2 linked regions of the Saccharomyces cerevisiae S288C genome follow. The gene in region 1 interacts genetically with each later gene. Each region holds a gene or a part of one and is shown on either strand. Other genes may lie near its edges.

The links.
Region 2: mutations in DUS4 (region 1) and TRM82 impair growth when combined (synthetic growth defect), as found in Saccharomyces cerevisiae (one study listed by BioGRID).

Annotation. Positions count from the first base shown.
Region 1 is NC_001144.5:923,826-936,965, forward strand, and holds DUS4 (tRNA dihydrouridine synthase), read left to right. Parts: upstream 1-5,963; coding exon 5,964-7,067; downstream 7,068-13,140. Other genes in the region: tRNA dihydrouridine synthase DUS3, read right to left, coding at 1-623; zinc-coordinating transcription factor SFP1, read left to right, coding at 1,743-3,794; SEI1 (seipin), read left to right, coding at 4,918-5,775; 60S ribosomal protein eL31 RPL31B, read right to left, coding at 7,240-7,524, 7,874-7,930; YLR406C-A (uncharacterized protein), read right to left, coding at 8,381-8,530; GAG1 (Gag1p), read left to right, coding at 9,142-9,828; BLS1 (Bls1p), read right to left, coding at 10,060-10,428; rRNA-processing protein UTP21, read right to left, coding at 10,589-13,140. UniProt on the Saccharomyces cerevisiae protein: Catalyzes the synthesis of dihydrouridine, a modified base found in the D-loop of most tRNAs. Specifically modifies U20a and U20b in cytoplasmic tRNAs. Also able to mediate dihydrouridylation of some mRNAs, thereby affecting their translation.
Region 2 is NC_001136.10:783,158-786,705, reverse strand, and holds TRM82 (Trm82p), read right to left. Parts: upstream 1,836-3,548; coding exon 501-1,835; downstream 1-500. Other genes in the region: exocyst subunit SEC5, read left to right, coding at 1-400; SEC1 (Sec1p), read left to right, coding at 2,491-3,548. UniProt on the Saccharomyces cerevisiae protein: Required for the formation of N(7)-methylguanine at position 46 (m7G46) in tRNA, a modification required to maintain stability of tRNAs; its absence resulting in tRNA decay.

The sequences.
Region 1 (13,140 bases):
GTGAAAGGAAATCTTCTTTTTATAAGATCGAGTTTTCTTTCCGGTGAGATATGGTTTACCTCACCTTTAACGGACCATATTGTTTGCGCATCTGGATCAATCTCCTTCTTCGATATTAGGATATTATCTTCTTTATTCAGATGAGACGATAAAAATCTGCATTTGAATCCCATGGGGCAAAATCCCAACGAGTTGAAGACCGGACAGGAAGGAAATATATTACTTTCAACTTCAGGCTTTTTTGTTGAAAGGTACAGATTGATATCGTGAACAAACCTACAGTTATCACCAAAGGAGCATTTAGATATATCGCCATGGATCAAGCGTGGGCACAAGACATTCTGTTCCTTGACCTGCCTGTTATCTCTATTCTTGTTTTGCCCACGCTTCTTACCTCTTCCGTTCTTATTTTTCTTATTAGTCCCACCTGCAAACTCGTTTGTCATTCTGTCGGAAGACATCTCTTCATCATAGATGGCGACCTTCTGGTTTTCATTCTGCTTCAATGGTACAATATATTCTGGTTTGATATGTGCAATACCTTTGGACGGGGAAGTGTCTTGTCTCTTCACGGTTGAGTTGTCGTCGCCAACAATAGAGCGTTTTTCAGCGTTTTGCTCCATCAATAATGTTTAGAAGTTGCCTTTTTTTCCTATTCTGAGTTCATTAATGTTTCATTACTGCTCATCTCATCACTACACATTCGAACTAAATTCTTCATAACTTTAACTAGATCTTATGAAACTTTTCAAAAATGGTGCACGGGCTTTCTGTATATTGAACTTTCCGTCGCTTTTCGGAGCTACAATTCCCCTACCCGGCTTGTCGGCATTAAGTCTCTTCATCCCGTGTACTATTACCCGACAGGTTTCTGCGGCATGTTCTGTGGAACGACGGTACGGGCGGTGACTGGGTGCCAAACAGTGCGGCGTTCCCGTGCGCAAGGTGGTCTGCGGTAGGAAAAAGAAACAAAACGCGCCTACGTCGTGCAAGGGGACAGGATTTTGTCAGTTACATAATAAGGAGCAATTTCGAATCAATTGAAATTTGGAACAAATGGGCGATGCATTCGTTAAAAGGCGATTTTGTATCAAATAACGTCACTATCAGCCATTGTCACTTGCCACTGTCGCCTGCCACCGCTATTGCCATTATCATTTGCTTTCGCATCGTCACCGATTTAAAGCTCTCTAGGCTAACGTACGCATTTTACCTCCCAGGCCCTATCTCTTTTCTACCTGTCATCCCTATATAACGTCTTGTACATTCTAGTGGCTCCGTTAACAAGGTTTGACAAATATTACAATCAAAGAAGGATAGCGCTAGTCAATCTAATCATTAAGTTCGCTTATAAAGAGAAGGAAAGCTAGATTTTTTTTCTACTTCAATTACATATCGGTGCTTCTCTCTGGTGGTTTTCTGTTTTTCTAATATTGATCGATTTTACGGTGAGTTAAACTACTTCCTTTTATCGCAATATCATATTTAGAGCGAGAAAGCAAGAAGAATAAAGCTAGGAGAAAAAAGCGCCACGATACATTCATACTAAGTTTATAATATACCGGTCGTCTTTTGGCTTTCTGATACCATATTATATCCTCGAAACACTTTCTCTGGATTCACCTACTATTAATCACCTCAAGATTTCACTTGTAAGGCGTTTTCAAATTTATTGTTATTAAAAGACATATTCATATTCAGTATTTTTATTTTTCTTCGAAACAGGAAAAGCTTATCTGAGTATGGATTTTACAACAATGACTATGGCAAGCAATATGGCTACTAGTACTACTACGACGGCTACATCGGCACATGCATCTATAAATTCGTCATCAAACTTTAATATTGATATTGATTCGAACCAGAATACTCCTTCCATTTTGATAAATAACAATTCGGATTCTTCTAATGGAAAAAACACAGATTTTAACGGCGTCAATAATATTCACCAAAAAAATATCATGAATAATACAAATAATGTTCATTTGTACTCTCCAAATATAATGGACCAAACGCTACTAACTCCACAGGACATTGCCAAGTTACGGAGAGAATCAATAGCCCATTCTCAAGGGATGGGTGGTGTTTCATGGGGATCCATTAGTGTTGGTTCTTGGTTAAGAGATGAAATTATTAGCCGTAGAAATAGTATTGTACCTGCATCAGCAAACGGTGCTGCCTCCGCTGCCGCTTCTGCAACCACTACTGCCACTAATACTTTGCAGATTCAACAACCAACTAAGAGACCCTCTGTTAGTAATCCGCCTTACCATAGAGGGTATTCTATTTCTCCTCAGATAGCCTACACTGCTTATCTGCCAAATCTAGAAAAGCAATATTGTAAAGATTATTCATGCTGTGGTCTTTCCTTACCAGGTTTGCATGATTTGCTGAGACATTACGAAGAAGCTCATATATCCACGTCTCCTAACACTACCAATATGTCACAAATACCGATGAACTCTGCTGGTAACACTAGTTCATCAGTTCGTATGACAAATAATACCTCTTCTGCCAACTATAACCTGCAGAATAACATGGCCGCTAATACAAAAAATGCAGGTCATAAGACTAATACTATGCAGGCTCATAGCAGCAATGCAACTAATAACACCTCCATTAATAATATGCATGCCAATCTTCAGAGCAACATGGATTCCAACTCCACAATACGACAATCTCAGCATCCTCACCATCAGCAGAATATAATACAACAACAGTTGCAATCGAATTCTGTAAATCATACATCAGGGGCTGTACCCACACCGAGTGTAATGGGTTCAGCAACTGCGTCGTCCACAACTGCAAATCCAAATGTGATATCTATAACGGGTGCCCCCAACTCGGGCTTATCTATGGCTAATCACTCTCAACAACTACATCTGAATGGTAATCTAGTCGATGCCGTTTCAACGAATGATGTGTTTTTAAGAACGAGCAATTCTCCATCAAGACACGTTCCGCACAATAAACAAATTAACAGTAACAATAATAGTGGTATCAATATCAATAATAATACCTCACACAATTCTAATATTAACATGGGTAGTAAAAACGCCATGGTGAATCGTCCACATACTTTTAATAACTATTCCTTGAACAAAACGTCCAGGAATCCTATTCAACATCAATCAAGAAAAATTGATCCTCATCAAACCGATTTATCACCTCTGGTACTTGTCCAAGATATAGATTTAAGTTTTATGGATGATGATATTTTGGGCCCTAGTAACCACAATTCCATGAACTCTGTCGTAAATCCAACTACAGGTTCTCACAACTACAATACTTTTCATTCTTCCGTACACGCAAAATCTTCTCAAAACATGGTCGAGGATCAAGACATTGATGACATTGATGATGACGATGATGTTGATGATGACGATGACGATGACGATGACGATGACACAGAAAATGGCTCCAGTTCCAATGGAAAATCAGTTCATAACAACAATTACAAGATGCCTCAGCAAGCTTATATAGACGATCCTGCGAGAAGGCTCTATGTAATGGATCATGAGGAACAAAAACCCTTTAAGTGTCCAGTTATTGGTTGTGAAAAGACTTATAAAAACCAAAACGGTTTGAAGTACCATAGGTTGCACGGACATCAGAATCAAAAATTACATGAAAACCCTGACGGTACATTTAGCGTAATAGATCCAGATTCGACAGATTCTTTTGGTGATGGAATGGGCTCTGCAAAGGATAAACCATACCGTTGTGAAGTTTGTGGTAAGAGATATAAGAACTTGAACGGTTTAAAATATCACAGGGGCCACTCCACTCACTAAGATATAATTGTTTCTTTACTGAATTGATTTAGTATGCTATTTAGATACTAATTCTACCGTTACCGACTCATGCATCGAGCGGCCGCTCTTTCTCTTGTTGTTGGGCGCAATTTATGTGATCATCTTTGAACGAAAATGCATGATAAAGCTGTGCTCTTCGACTGTTACCATTAATTTCAAAAAATAAAAAGCATATCTATTATTGAAAAATGAACTTATAATAGAATAACATTTTCTTGTTTTGTCATCATTTCCTCTAAATACTCCGTCATGAAAACGATTTGCGCTCTGTCTGGTCTCTCCTTTTAGTATTATTGTTGTGTGTTTTTTACTATTCATTTTTTACTACTGTGTTTTTACTATATATATTTTGGCTTTACTTACTTCCTTCTGTTCTGATGTATTAAAAACTATTTTTATTCTAAGAAAAGAAACTTTAATTCTTCTTATTCATGCTCTAAATCTTAAATAAAAGGTTCCGTTTTTTATCTGCAATTCTGTGTATTTGTAAGTGAATTACCATGCACGTTGTCGGATCGTTTTTCTAGGCAGAAACTATCTTATTGAACCATTAAAAGATTACTTAAATATTACAATTAATCTTACGAAGCATATTAATTAGACTGGAATTACAGCGCAACTATCACAGGTTAATAATTGGTTGAGAAAATATTATAGTTTTGTTAGTAATGTTGAACTTTTATTTTATACACTTATGAAAGTAAATTAATTCAATATCAATAATAATATACTATAAGTAACTTAAAAAGCAACCTTCCTCCCAAACCTACAATCCAATCACGCTGATAAGTATTATCTAGAAAGTTGACAACACCAAGCCATATGGTCAAGAAACATTTATTGAGAGTTATTTTGTAAATAAGACTTTTCGTCATCCATATAAAGCAACCTAATTGTTCATCTAATACTAGAGTCGCTCTTTTGAAAGTTAAGTATAACTACCTCATCATTAGTTGCTACTATGTGTATAATTTGAAAATCTCAACGTAAGGTTATTAAAAATATAAATGCGCGTAAGACAGAAAAATAGAGACAGCTTACGGCAAATTATCAAAATGTGAATCCAAGGTTTCAAGAAAATAAGATAAAGTGAATAGGAAGGATGAAAATCAATGTATCCCGTCCATTACAGTTTTTACAATGGAGTTCATATATTGTTGTTGCATTTCTGATACAATTGCTAATCATTCTTCCTTTATCGATCTTAATATATCACGATTTTTACCTAAGACTATTACCTGCCGATTCCTCTAACGTAGTCCCCCTTAATACGTTCAACATTTTAAATGGCGTACAATTTGGTACAAAATTCTTCCAATCTATTAAAAGCATTCCGGTAGGTACAGATCTGCCGCAAACAATAGACAATGGCTTATCACAGTTAATCCCCATGCGTGACAACATGGAATACAAGCTCGATCTAAACCTACAGCTTTATTGCCAGAGCAAAACTGACCATTTAAATTTAGACAATTTGTTAATTGATGTTTACAGAGGTCCAGGCCCGCTATTGGGTGCTCCTGGAGGAAGTAACAGCAAAGATGAAAAAATCTTTCACACTTCTAGACCTATTGTCTGCCTCGCACTGACGGATTCCATGTCGCCTCAGGAGATCGAACAACTAGGCCCATCACGTCTAGACGTTTACGATGAAGAATGGCTAAATACAATAAGAATAGAGGACAAAATATCGTTAGAGTCTTCATATGAAACAATCTCGGTGTTCTTGAAAACGGAGATTGCCCAAAGAAATCTAATAATACATCCAGAAAGTGGGATTAAGTTTAGGATGAATTTTGAGCAGGGATTAAGAAACTTGATGCTTCGAAAAAGATTTTTATCTTATATTATTGGCATTTCAATTTTCCATTGCATAATATGTGTACTTTTTTTTATCACAGGTTGCACTGCATTCATTTTTGTTAGAAAGGGTCAGGAAAAATCCAAGAAACATAGCTGATAGAATTGTACTTCTCGCTATATAATTTTAAAACCTAGCTGTTATTTTCTAAGTAAGTAGGCTCTTCCAGCATTCTGCTTCTTCGCCCTGAATAAAAAAAAGATGATCAGCGAAAAAACTCAAAATGAAAATAAGAGATGGATTCTTCAAAGTTATAATTCATATGCAGAATAAAGATTCTAAAGAAAATGCACACAATGCATATTCCATCCGGTGATGTTCTGATACCGAAGCCGAAGCTTATTACTGAAGAAACAGATCCACTGCATATAATAAAGACGAGGCAAAAGACACATGGTCGGCCCGTGACCATTGCAGGCCCAATGGTTCGGTATTCCAAGTTACCATTCCGTCAGTTGTGCCGAGAATATAACGTTGATATAGTTTACTCCCCCATGATTTTGGCAAGAGAATATGTCCGTAATGAGCATGCAAGAATCTCAGACCTTTCTACAAATAATGAGGACACCCCGCTAATCGTCCAAGTAGGTGTAAATAACGTGGCTGATTTACTAAAATTTGTGGAAATGGTTGCCCCATACTGTGATGGTATTGGTATTAACTGTGGTTGTCCTATAAAGGAACAAATCCGAGAGGGCATAGGTTGCGCTCTGATATACAATTCAGATTTGTTATGCAGTATGGTCCATGCTGTGAAAGATAAGTATGGCGACAAACTAAGAATTGAAACGAAAATAAGAATACATGAGGCATTGGACGAGACGGTGGAGTTATGTAGAAAGCTATGTGATGCTGGGGTAGATTGGATTACGATTCATGGCCGAACACGTAGAACTAGGTCATCGCAGCCGGCTAACCTGGATGCGATAAAATATATCATCGAGAACATCAGCGACAAAAATGTGCCTGTAATAGCGAATGGGGATTGTTTTAAGTTATCCGATTTGGAAAGAATCACCAAATACACTGGTGCACATGGTGTCATGGCTGTGCGTGGGTTGTTAAGCAATCCAGCGTTATTTGCTGGATATACTACCTGCCCTTGGGGCTGCATTGAGAAGTTTTGTTATTGGGCTCTAGAGTTTGGTGGCTTGCCTTTTCAATTGGCTCAGCACCATCTGTACTGTATGCTTGAAAATATGGAGTTGAAGAAATCTCTGTTAAAGAAAATGATGAATCTTAAAAATTACATTAGTCTGATCGACTGGTTTAATAAAACCTTTGAGTTCAAGCGTTACGGCGAGGATGGATTTGGCATGGGCGTTGAAATTCCTTATAAAGCTAATAGCTGTGTGCAGAGGAGCGCCTCAGTGGTTGAGAGACAAGAATGAATAAATTTTGAATTACAAAAATCTAATAAACTGTGGTACTGAAATTGTATATATTTTCCTATCATTCAAGAGCGTATACTCGTACCCCGAAAGCAGCTCTGTTTGTGTAATAATATAACCTAAAAGAAATAAAATGCTTATAAGATGGACATTATTTTTTTTTTTTTACAATTTAAGCATCTTCTTCAACGACAACGGTTTGTAGACCCTTAGCAGAGGCAACCAAAACTGGTTCGACGTAGGAAAACAATGGGTTCTTGGCATCTTCTTCTTCGTTTCTCTTTCTGGAGATTCTCAATCTCAATCTGTATTCAACACCCTTAACACCTCTTTTCCAGATAGCTTGGTTCAATTCTGGGGCTAGACGGACATCTTCAGTACCCATGTGTAATTTGGCGAATTTCTTGATTTCCTTCACAGCTCTTGGAGCTCTCTTTTTGAAACTGACACCATGTAGCTATATTAATATCAATTCAAGATTGGTCTGTTAGTAAAAAAAAAGTTGTTATAAGAAGGTGGAACTAAAGCATCACGCCAAAAACATCGGCCCAAGCGCCATTATAGTGTAAACGTGAGGTACGGATATCGATCGCAGAACACAGAGAAATGCAGTACCGAAGAAGAACCTTCCAGTCCTTGCATCACGCATTCCATATAATAACCTCTAATATTCCGAATTAAAACCTGGGGTCAATCATTGGAAAATGAAATTTCACCCGTATAGATTTCGCTTGGTATTTCACCACAATATCGCTTGTTGGCTTTCAATAATTTCCCACGTAAAGACAACGCTAATTTCGACATACTCTTTTGTGCAAGTTGATGGTGTATTCACGAGTGACAACGTCTTTTAAACCGGCCATTTTCAAGTACTTTGGATTATCTGCTCGTGCAATTGAAATATACTAAGACCCAAGACTATGTAAAACTAAGGAACCTATCAACAATGAGACTGGTCAAATAATAGAGTAAACATGTACATGAAGCACTACCATCAGAAAGAGCTTACAAGGTTACGAAACAACGTCAGTGCCCTCTGTCGCATTACCCTCGGTTTCGCGCCCTTCCAGTTGGCATTTGAAGTGCCAATCCAATTGTGAGCACATCCAACTAGCGTGCCCTTGCAATCCCAGAGGACACCATACAACTTCCAGCCTAGTAGTGAACTTACCAGGCGAGGAGCGCGGGCGCCAGAGGGCAGCTCATCTGCGTTCCGGCTCTAACGAGAAGGGCGGAAATGGCACCATCACCTGAAAAAGAACGTAATCTAGGCTGAGCCGCGCCTTTAAGTTTTTGTCGCATCTGGCTGCGCTTCATTTAAACGGCACTCCTAAAAAATTGTATGAGGTGATTTTTTTTGTGTACAGATGTACGGATGTACGGATGTACGGATGTATACTATGTAATAATGCACGGATGTAGAGAAACAGAAACGAGGATAATAAAATCGGTTTTTGTATCATCTGGCGGCGATATGGCGCAAGGCTTTAAGTAAACGTCCTATATGGTACTAACGGGGTTTTATTCCGAATCAAAAGAAAAAGAGATACGAAGTCTCTCTTAGTAAAAAAGTCTTTATGGAAGATTATCGATAATTCGATAATTCTACCGACAACAGTGGTTTTGTTTGGCTCAGCAAACGTGCAGCACCATGATCTTGGTAGATTTCTTCTTTACCCTCACCTTCCCCACACCATGTTTGCTTGCTACCCGTGTGTAATGCTATCAGCGCGCGTTTCTTTTTTTTTCTTGCTAACATTTTTCAACTTTAAAATGAAACGATGCATGAGTGATAGAGGCATTGAACTTTAGTAAACAATAGAAATAACCATCGGAGTTATTATTTTTTTCTGCTTATTCTTTGGTCGCAAAAAAGTGTGTTGTATAATTCTTTGGAATATTTATAAAAACAGGGAATACTCTAACAACAAACGCTAGTGCTTAGCTACTCTTCCGCTGGTACTTCAATATAGCTTGTCACATATTTTTGTCCATTAAGGTCGTTAAAACCCGAATAATTTTGTACGATCAGTTTAGTAAAAGAAATACAGTATTCAAAAGCTAACGGTTTATTATGACTGTTTCTACTTCCAAGACCCCAAAAAAGAATATTAAGTATACCTTAACACATACTTTACAAAAATGGAAAGAAACTTTAAAGAAAATTACCCACGAAACGTTGAGTAGTATCGATGACTCTAGTGGAAGCGATGAAAAAATAGAGGCTCTGTTTACTGTGTCTCAGCCTGCCGTCGTAGCCTCCAAGGGTATAGACAGAGATAGTGGTGCTTCTATGTCGCAGGTAGGAGGAGGTGTCAATAGTACATTGGAGATGAAGCTCACAGATGAGAGTGAGGAATCTAGCTCTGCTAATAACACGACCACAACCGCCTCGCATACTCTATCGAATTCGAAGAAGTCTACGCAGAACTTTGAAAACTATAACGTAGTGGAGGAACGCATAAAATTAGCACAGAAAAGTAAGGCGCCGTTTTGTAACGCTGAGAAAATCTGGAAACGAAGAAGACAACTCTGGACACAACCCACTGAGCAAAGTGAAAGCGCCAATAATGACGGAGTTACTCGAAGGGAGATTTTCCAAGCTATACCTCAGGAATATTATGCTCGAGTTTACAAGAAACTGGTGGTAGATGATAAGCCATTGAGAGAGCCTCTAAATCTGGAAGATGCTTTACAAGTCATAAATGCAGGCTGGACGGAAACGAGAAAGTGGGCTAATGCTGCCAAGGGCATGCCATGACTGAGTGTCGACGTCCTTTTTGTTTTGCCTTATAGCATCTTTTCCTTTCTTCAAATTTGCATTACACAACTTTAACTCAGTTAAAGAACTTCGTCATTTACTTATTCTTCTTTTTTTTCTTACCCTTCTTTCTCAAATCTTATTTCTGTATAAAATACGTATTGATTCATTCCATTAATAATAACATATAATAATAGTACTAATTTAAAAACATTGAATATATTTATCGTTTTATTTCGAGTTGCGATTCTTTTCTATCAGTTGGTACGTCATTTCAAGGATTCGGAGATCCCTATCCACAAGCTCTGCTTCCTTTTGTAATGCTTCGGTATGCCCCATATACGGAGTGTACTTTTCCAACATATAGTTAATAGGAGAAACACACTTATTTTTAAATGAGTCGTCATGAAGTCGCAATAACTTCTTCAACTGTACATTTAAAATATATGATTGATTATTTTCAATTTCTTGCAAAGTCTTCGAGGCTTCTGTTCTATGCGGAGAGTTGATTATTTTGTCGAGTAATCGGTCAAGTTCTTCAGACCTGTTTGGCATTTTTACGATTATCCAGTTCACACACATTGAGAATGTAAGGAACATTTATTTATTGTCGATCATTTATTAAATGTGGGAGGGACCCTTTAAGAACACTGCAACAAACCCAATAAATAATTCTTGGTTACCCTCTCAAAAAACATCATAGGAAAAAGAAAAATATACAATCTGCCTTTGTTACTAATATACTTGTTCTATATAATGCTCACGCGGTGGTCACAAAAGCTGCCACTCCCATGCAAAACTTCACAAGATCATCTAATCTGTCTTCCTTCTTATGTACATCCTCCCAATTTTGAAGAGCAGAGGCAATATCTTGATTCTTGTTGTTAGCATGAATAACATCACCGTGTGCCTTAAACAGTAAGCTCATAAACGTTTCATAAAGTTCGAAATTTTTATTGCTCTTCAACCCCTGTGTTAACGCGTCGATAAACCACACAATTTCATCAAATGGCTCAAAGGAATTCAATGATCTTATCTCCAAATCCACTGCAGCAGGTGAGAAATTTATTAGAGTGGCCAGCAATGATGAATAGTCCTTGGATTGTGAGCCCTCTCGTAATTGCTTTGTGAAATGTGATTCAAACCCTAATCTTCCTGTAACTTTGAATTTATTCATTTGCTCTTCTGCATCTAACTTCTTTTGTGCTTCTTGATCTCTGCGATGGATTTCTTCTGGTGTTTCATGTGCTATGCCTTCTCTGACAGAGGCTTCATCCCCAACCTTTTCCCCAGATAGTTGCAAGAAAAATGGAAGCTTTTCTGATTTCTTTGGAGCTTCCTTTGGCTTAGAACGTTTTCTGATAACATCTAAATGAAGCAATGTGTTCATTTTACTTCTAGGTCCTATTGATAAAGTCAACAGCTCCTTATCAATCTGTTCCAATGATGTATAAGTGTTGAAATCAATATCATTTAGGTCTTCTCCTCCATTGCTTTCTAAAGCCCCTGATAACATCGAGTCGTTCCCTCGAACAGATGTGCTAGGTAACGCCATTCTTGCAAATTCAGACTCATCGATGGTTCTTGTCGATACTGTCTTAAATTGTGCTCTGTTCGTCCAGATGCATATACCATTACCAGTAACATGGGTAGTGGCAAGCAAGTCACCATTCGGAGAAAACTTTACATTCGTAGCGACATTATCTACTATGATACCATCGATACATCCTCCGGTTGGAAGATCCCACGTTCTAATGGTGGAATCTAGAGAAGCGGAAACAATCCAACGGCCCTCAGGTGAGAAATCAAATGCAGTTATTCTATTACTATGACCCCATAATTGACGAACAACTCTTTGAGTAACTGCGTCAATAACAACAATTGATAAGTCGTCTAAAGCCAATGCAAATAGATCGGAAGAACGATGATAAACCATTGCGGTAATAGGTGCATCCAATTTCAATTTTCCCAACAAGGTTGACTTGTTAAAGTCATAAAAACCAACAATACCGTCTAGTCCACAAGAAACCATTTTACGATTCATACCATCTAAGGATATACCGGTGACTGCTCTTTTGTGCAATTTGTATTTTTTACGGAGTATACCACTTTGCATATTATAGATGGTGATAGAGCCGTTAGAAGAACCGATGAATCCAAAATTACCACATTGCGACATGGCCACAGATTTAACAAATCCATCATCAGTAGTATCAAAAGTCCACCTGCCAACTCTTTTATTTCGCATATCCCAGGTTCTTGCAAACTTTTCATCTTTATGTGCAGTGATAATGTTTTCCCATTCACCTATTCTGGCATTTTCAATTGCAAGAGCCACTATTTCAGGAAATTTAGACTTAATTGTACTACCACCTACCCTGCCGCCATCTTGTTTCTTGTGTAACCTTTGTGACATTTCTTGCGACTGTGCATCTTTACGCAGAGAAAAGCTCCATAATGATCTATCTTTGGATGCTGATAGCATGAAGTGTGATTGCGAATCAGCAAACGCAATGTATGAAGGTGGTTGAGAATGACCCCCTCTGGAACGTAGATATCTTGGCGGTTGAACAACTACATCACCGCTTCCTTGAGATAATGACGGATCGAAAACGTACTCCTTCAGGGAATTGTCACCACCTGATGTAACAATAATGGGTTGACCATTTAAAAAAGTAGCCTGAGTGACACCACCGTACGATTCTCTATGAATGTTCTTCAAAACGTGTATTCTTGAACGGCGATCTAAATCATAAAATATTAGATCACCACTGCTCGTTCCCACACTCAAATGAGAAGAACCGTCGGTTCTGAAACTCAATGAGGAGATTCTTGATTGCGGAATCTTAATTGTGCGGATCCTTTTACCTTTTCTCATATTAAACATAATAACCTCACCGGTCACGGTACCTAGAGCAATAATATCCAGGACTGGAGCGGGTTCAGCAGTTGTGATTTGGTCTGGAAATTCGTTTGATGTGAATACAAGCTTCCCGGTTCTGACGTTAAAAAGTAAAACGTTAGATTTGGTAACGACAGTTAATTTATTCAAATAAGTTGCCAAATGTTGTAAAGACACAATTTCGCCACCTTGAATTTCAGTAACGGTAAGTTTAGTGTAGAATTCTGATGGATATTTATCTTGCGGATCGGACTTCTTGTATATAAAGATGGAATTGTCGTCGGTGGAAGCGCAAAGATAATCTCCGAATATGCACAAATGTTCGACATTTGCATCAGTTTCTAGCTCAAGCAAATGTTCCTCAATACCCCTCTTGTAAATACCAACCTTGTTTTCATATGCTGCGTAGA
Region 2 (3,548 bases), on another chromosome or scaffold:
GTATACATCAAATTCATTCAGGGTTGGTGACTATATTATAGAAGCGTTAATGATTCTGATCGTGGTTCACAGTGAGTGCTTTAGAATTGGGCCTCAGCTCATCCATAAGATTTTAATTGAAACGCAGATTTTTATAGCCAGATACCTCTTTGAGGCATTTAAGCCTTATGTTGGTAATCTTTCTAATGATGGCTCATTACAAATTATAGTGGATTTGGAATTCTTTCAGAAGGTTATGGGTCCTTTACTTGAAAAGGACACCGAGGCCACATTAAGGGCGTGCTTACAAAACTGTTTCCAGAACGACACAAATAGACTACAAAAATGTATCAATGAGATTAATCCTATTGTATCTGCCAATTTAAAAAGAACTGCTATTCAATTCGCCGCCTTCAGCTAGAAACAGAGGTATAAAGATGTACTAACAATGATTATTAACACAAATCGGTACGTATCTTTTTTTATATTAGTTATAAAGATGTACTTACTACCTTTTTATTTCACGAGTAATGTTCTCCATGTTTTCTTAACGAGGAAACATTGTATAACGGGTAAATTTCTTCTTTCTTGGTCACCAAGTTAGAATCCCCTTGTACTGATTGTATGATGGCACTGTCAAATTCGTTTGATTTTTCATTATTCACGACAAAACTATTCTCATTTAAGTTATATTCAATGAATTTGGCAAAATTTTTTTGCACACCAGATGATTCCTTATTATCTAGGGTGACTTGGAATTCATCATTATGGGCGGATAATGAGATAACATTATATGGAAAAGTTATAATTTGCTTTAGTGCAAGATCCCCTTTTTGTTTTTCGGACATTTCCAGAATTATTATGCATTTTGTAGCTTCGACGAAAAACGCAACAAACGGTAGGTTCTTTGACTTTATAATTTTACTAACTGCAAATTCAATAATATCATTATTTTCATTTTGAAATCTTGGTGGTGCTAAATGCTGATCATTCAAATAAGGTTTAATCAAACTATTATAATCGAAGGTAGACAAGTTCTTACCAGTTTTCCAATCCCAAGCGAAGATTTTATCGTCACCACCTGCACTTAATAATAAATAGTCTTTGCCACAGCATATGGAAGAAACAAAATGCTTATGACCAAAGAGCCATTTGTCCACAATGAAACATTGGGGATAATGCGAAATTTTAATATGCTCATCTCTATCACTTGTAATTATGAATTGATGACCGTCAGAGTCTTTAATCAAGTGTACATCAGTCAACATAGAGACATGACCGAGAATAGGTTCTTGAGTAAACTTTTCTTCCGGGATAGAATTAATATCAATAGAATATACATCACCAAATTTGTCAGCTATTATGACTGTAGTATCATCTTCGGCTATAGAAATAGCATTCGGTCTCTTTGAGAAGCAGAACCTTTTTCTCAACTTTAAGACATTTTTGGAAGTTTTGTCGACATCGAAAACTAGGAGGGACTTGTCAGAATCTGCGCACGCAATTAGTCTTGATTCATCCGAAGTTAATCTCAGATTTCTTATGTACGAATATATCGGTGGGGCGCCAAGACCTGGAGATGGTACCTTGGCTGCTGTCCTTTTAATGGAATCGCCTTTATTACTTTTCAATTTTTTGTTCTCGTTTTCGTTTTCGCTGGATTGTCCTTGTTGCTCCTTAGCAGTGGTGTTTCTCGATTCTTGAATTTTGTCGAAATCATCAGACCATTTTCCAGCAAATTCCCAATGATTTGGCGATTGATATTTGAAGCTTAAGATACAATTCTTAATGATGGCGAAAACTAATGAGCCATCACGAGAGGTGAGTAAATTCTGCAAAGGATGAATGACGCTCATTGTAAAACACGCGGACTGCTTCAAATTGACAAACCTTGCTATACTTTAGCTGCTAATATATCATCAATACGCCTTTACTAGTAAAAAATTTTTTCATCTCATCGATTTTTTTCACCTCGCCATTTTTTTCGCTGATTAAAAGAAATGTATCTGAGATAAGTGCCATATTTAATGACAGCAGCGTAAAATAAGAATATGTAACGATACAATAAGAAAACTATGTTTATGTGTCACCTCTTGCTTGCGTCTTGGGAAAAGCATTCCCAATAACAGAATACTAAACCGGATGTAGTAGCCCTCTTAGTTTTTCTATCTAACATGTCCATCCTCCTGGATCAAAATATCAGTAATCTTGTATTCCTTACTTGCGATACAGCTATTATTACAGGCACTCTTTAAAAATCATCGAATAGCCGATCGACTACACACTTATCCCTATAACATGGTGTAAGTGATAGAGAGGTGAATGGCGGCGTCGTCTTATGTTCTCGCAATTATTGGTAGATGGTCACACAGCACGGTGTTTTTCTTTTGCTTAAACGATCAGTTTAAGTCCCTATTGAAACTAGTAAGACATTGCTTTGTAAGACCTTGAAAATAATTAGAATCCACTGACAAAGTAGAAGAGTGTGCACATGCTTGGTTTGGCGGAACGATGTCTGATTTAATTGAATTACAGAGGAACTATTTGATAGGGGTTTTGAATCAGATTGAGACGAAAAATAACTTGAAGTTTCTTATTATCGATAAAACTGTGGAGACAATATTGAGTTATCTTTTCCTCACACCCCAAGAACTTTTAAATAATGTCACATCTGTTGATTTGATTGATTCCCCAACAAGAAAAGGACAATCCTCCATCGAGGCAATTTACATATTGGAACCAACGAAATATAACATCAATTGTATCGATGCTGACTTCATGGTAAGACCACCTAAGTACAGAAGATGTCACATCAGATTTTTACCAGGATTAACAAACCCTATATTTCAGTTTTTTCAATCAAAACGTTACATTGCTCAAAATTTGGAGTCATTTAAGCCGATCGAACTAGGGTTTTTCGTCAAAGAATCTCAATTCTTCGAAACTTTACAAATGGAACACTCATTACAGGTTTTTTTCAACAACAACTGTAAGGCTTTGATTCCTACTAACGTGAGGAAGATTGTAGGCTCACTAGTTAGTTTGTGTGTTATTACGGGGGAATATCCGATTGTTAGATATTCTGTATCTAATCCTGTGGAAGAGGAAGATGCCCGCAATGGAAACGCCGTAGTCAACGCAAATTCTTTAACAAGGTCTATTGCAAACGCTTTCCAAATAGCGATAGATACATACGCTCGCAATAATCCAGATTTCCCTCCTCAAAACACTGAAAGACCGCGTTCCATTCTAATAATCACCGATAGAACACTGGACCCTTTTGCGCCAATATTACATGATTTTAGCTATCAAGCAATGGCTTATGACCTGGTAGCTAATGTGGACACACAAAAAGATATATATCATTATTCTGCCGAGAATGAAGCTGGTGAGCAAGAGGAAAAGGTTTCAAAATTGGTAGATTTGTATGATCCTGACTGGATTGATTTGAAACATCAGCATATTATGGATGCCAACGAATATATTCAAGGAAGAATCAAGGAACTGATTGCTAAAAACCCTCTGCTGGTTGATAGATCGAACGTAAAGAATACTACCGATCTGCTGAG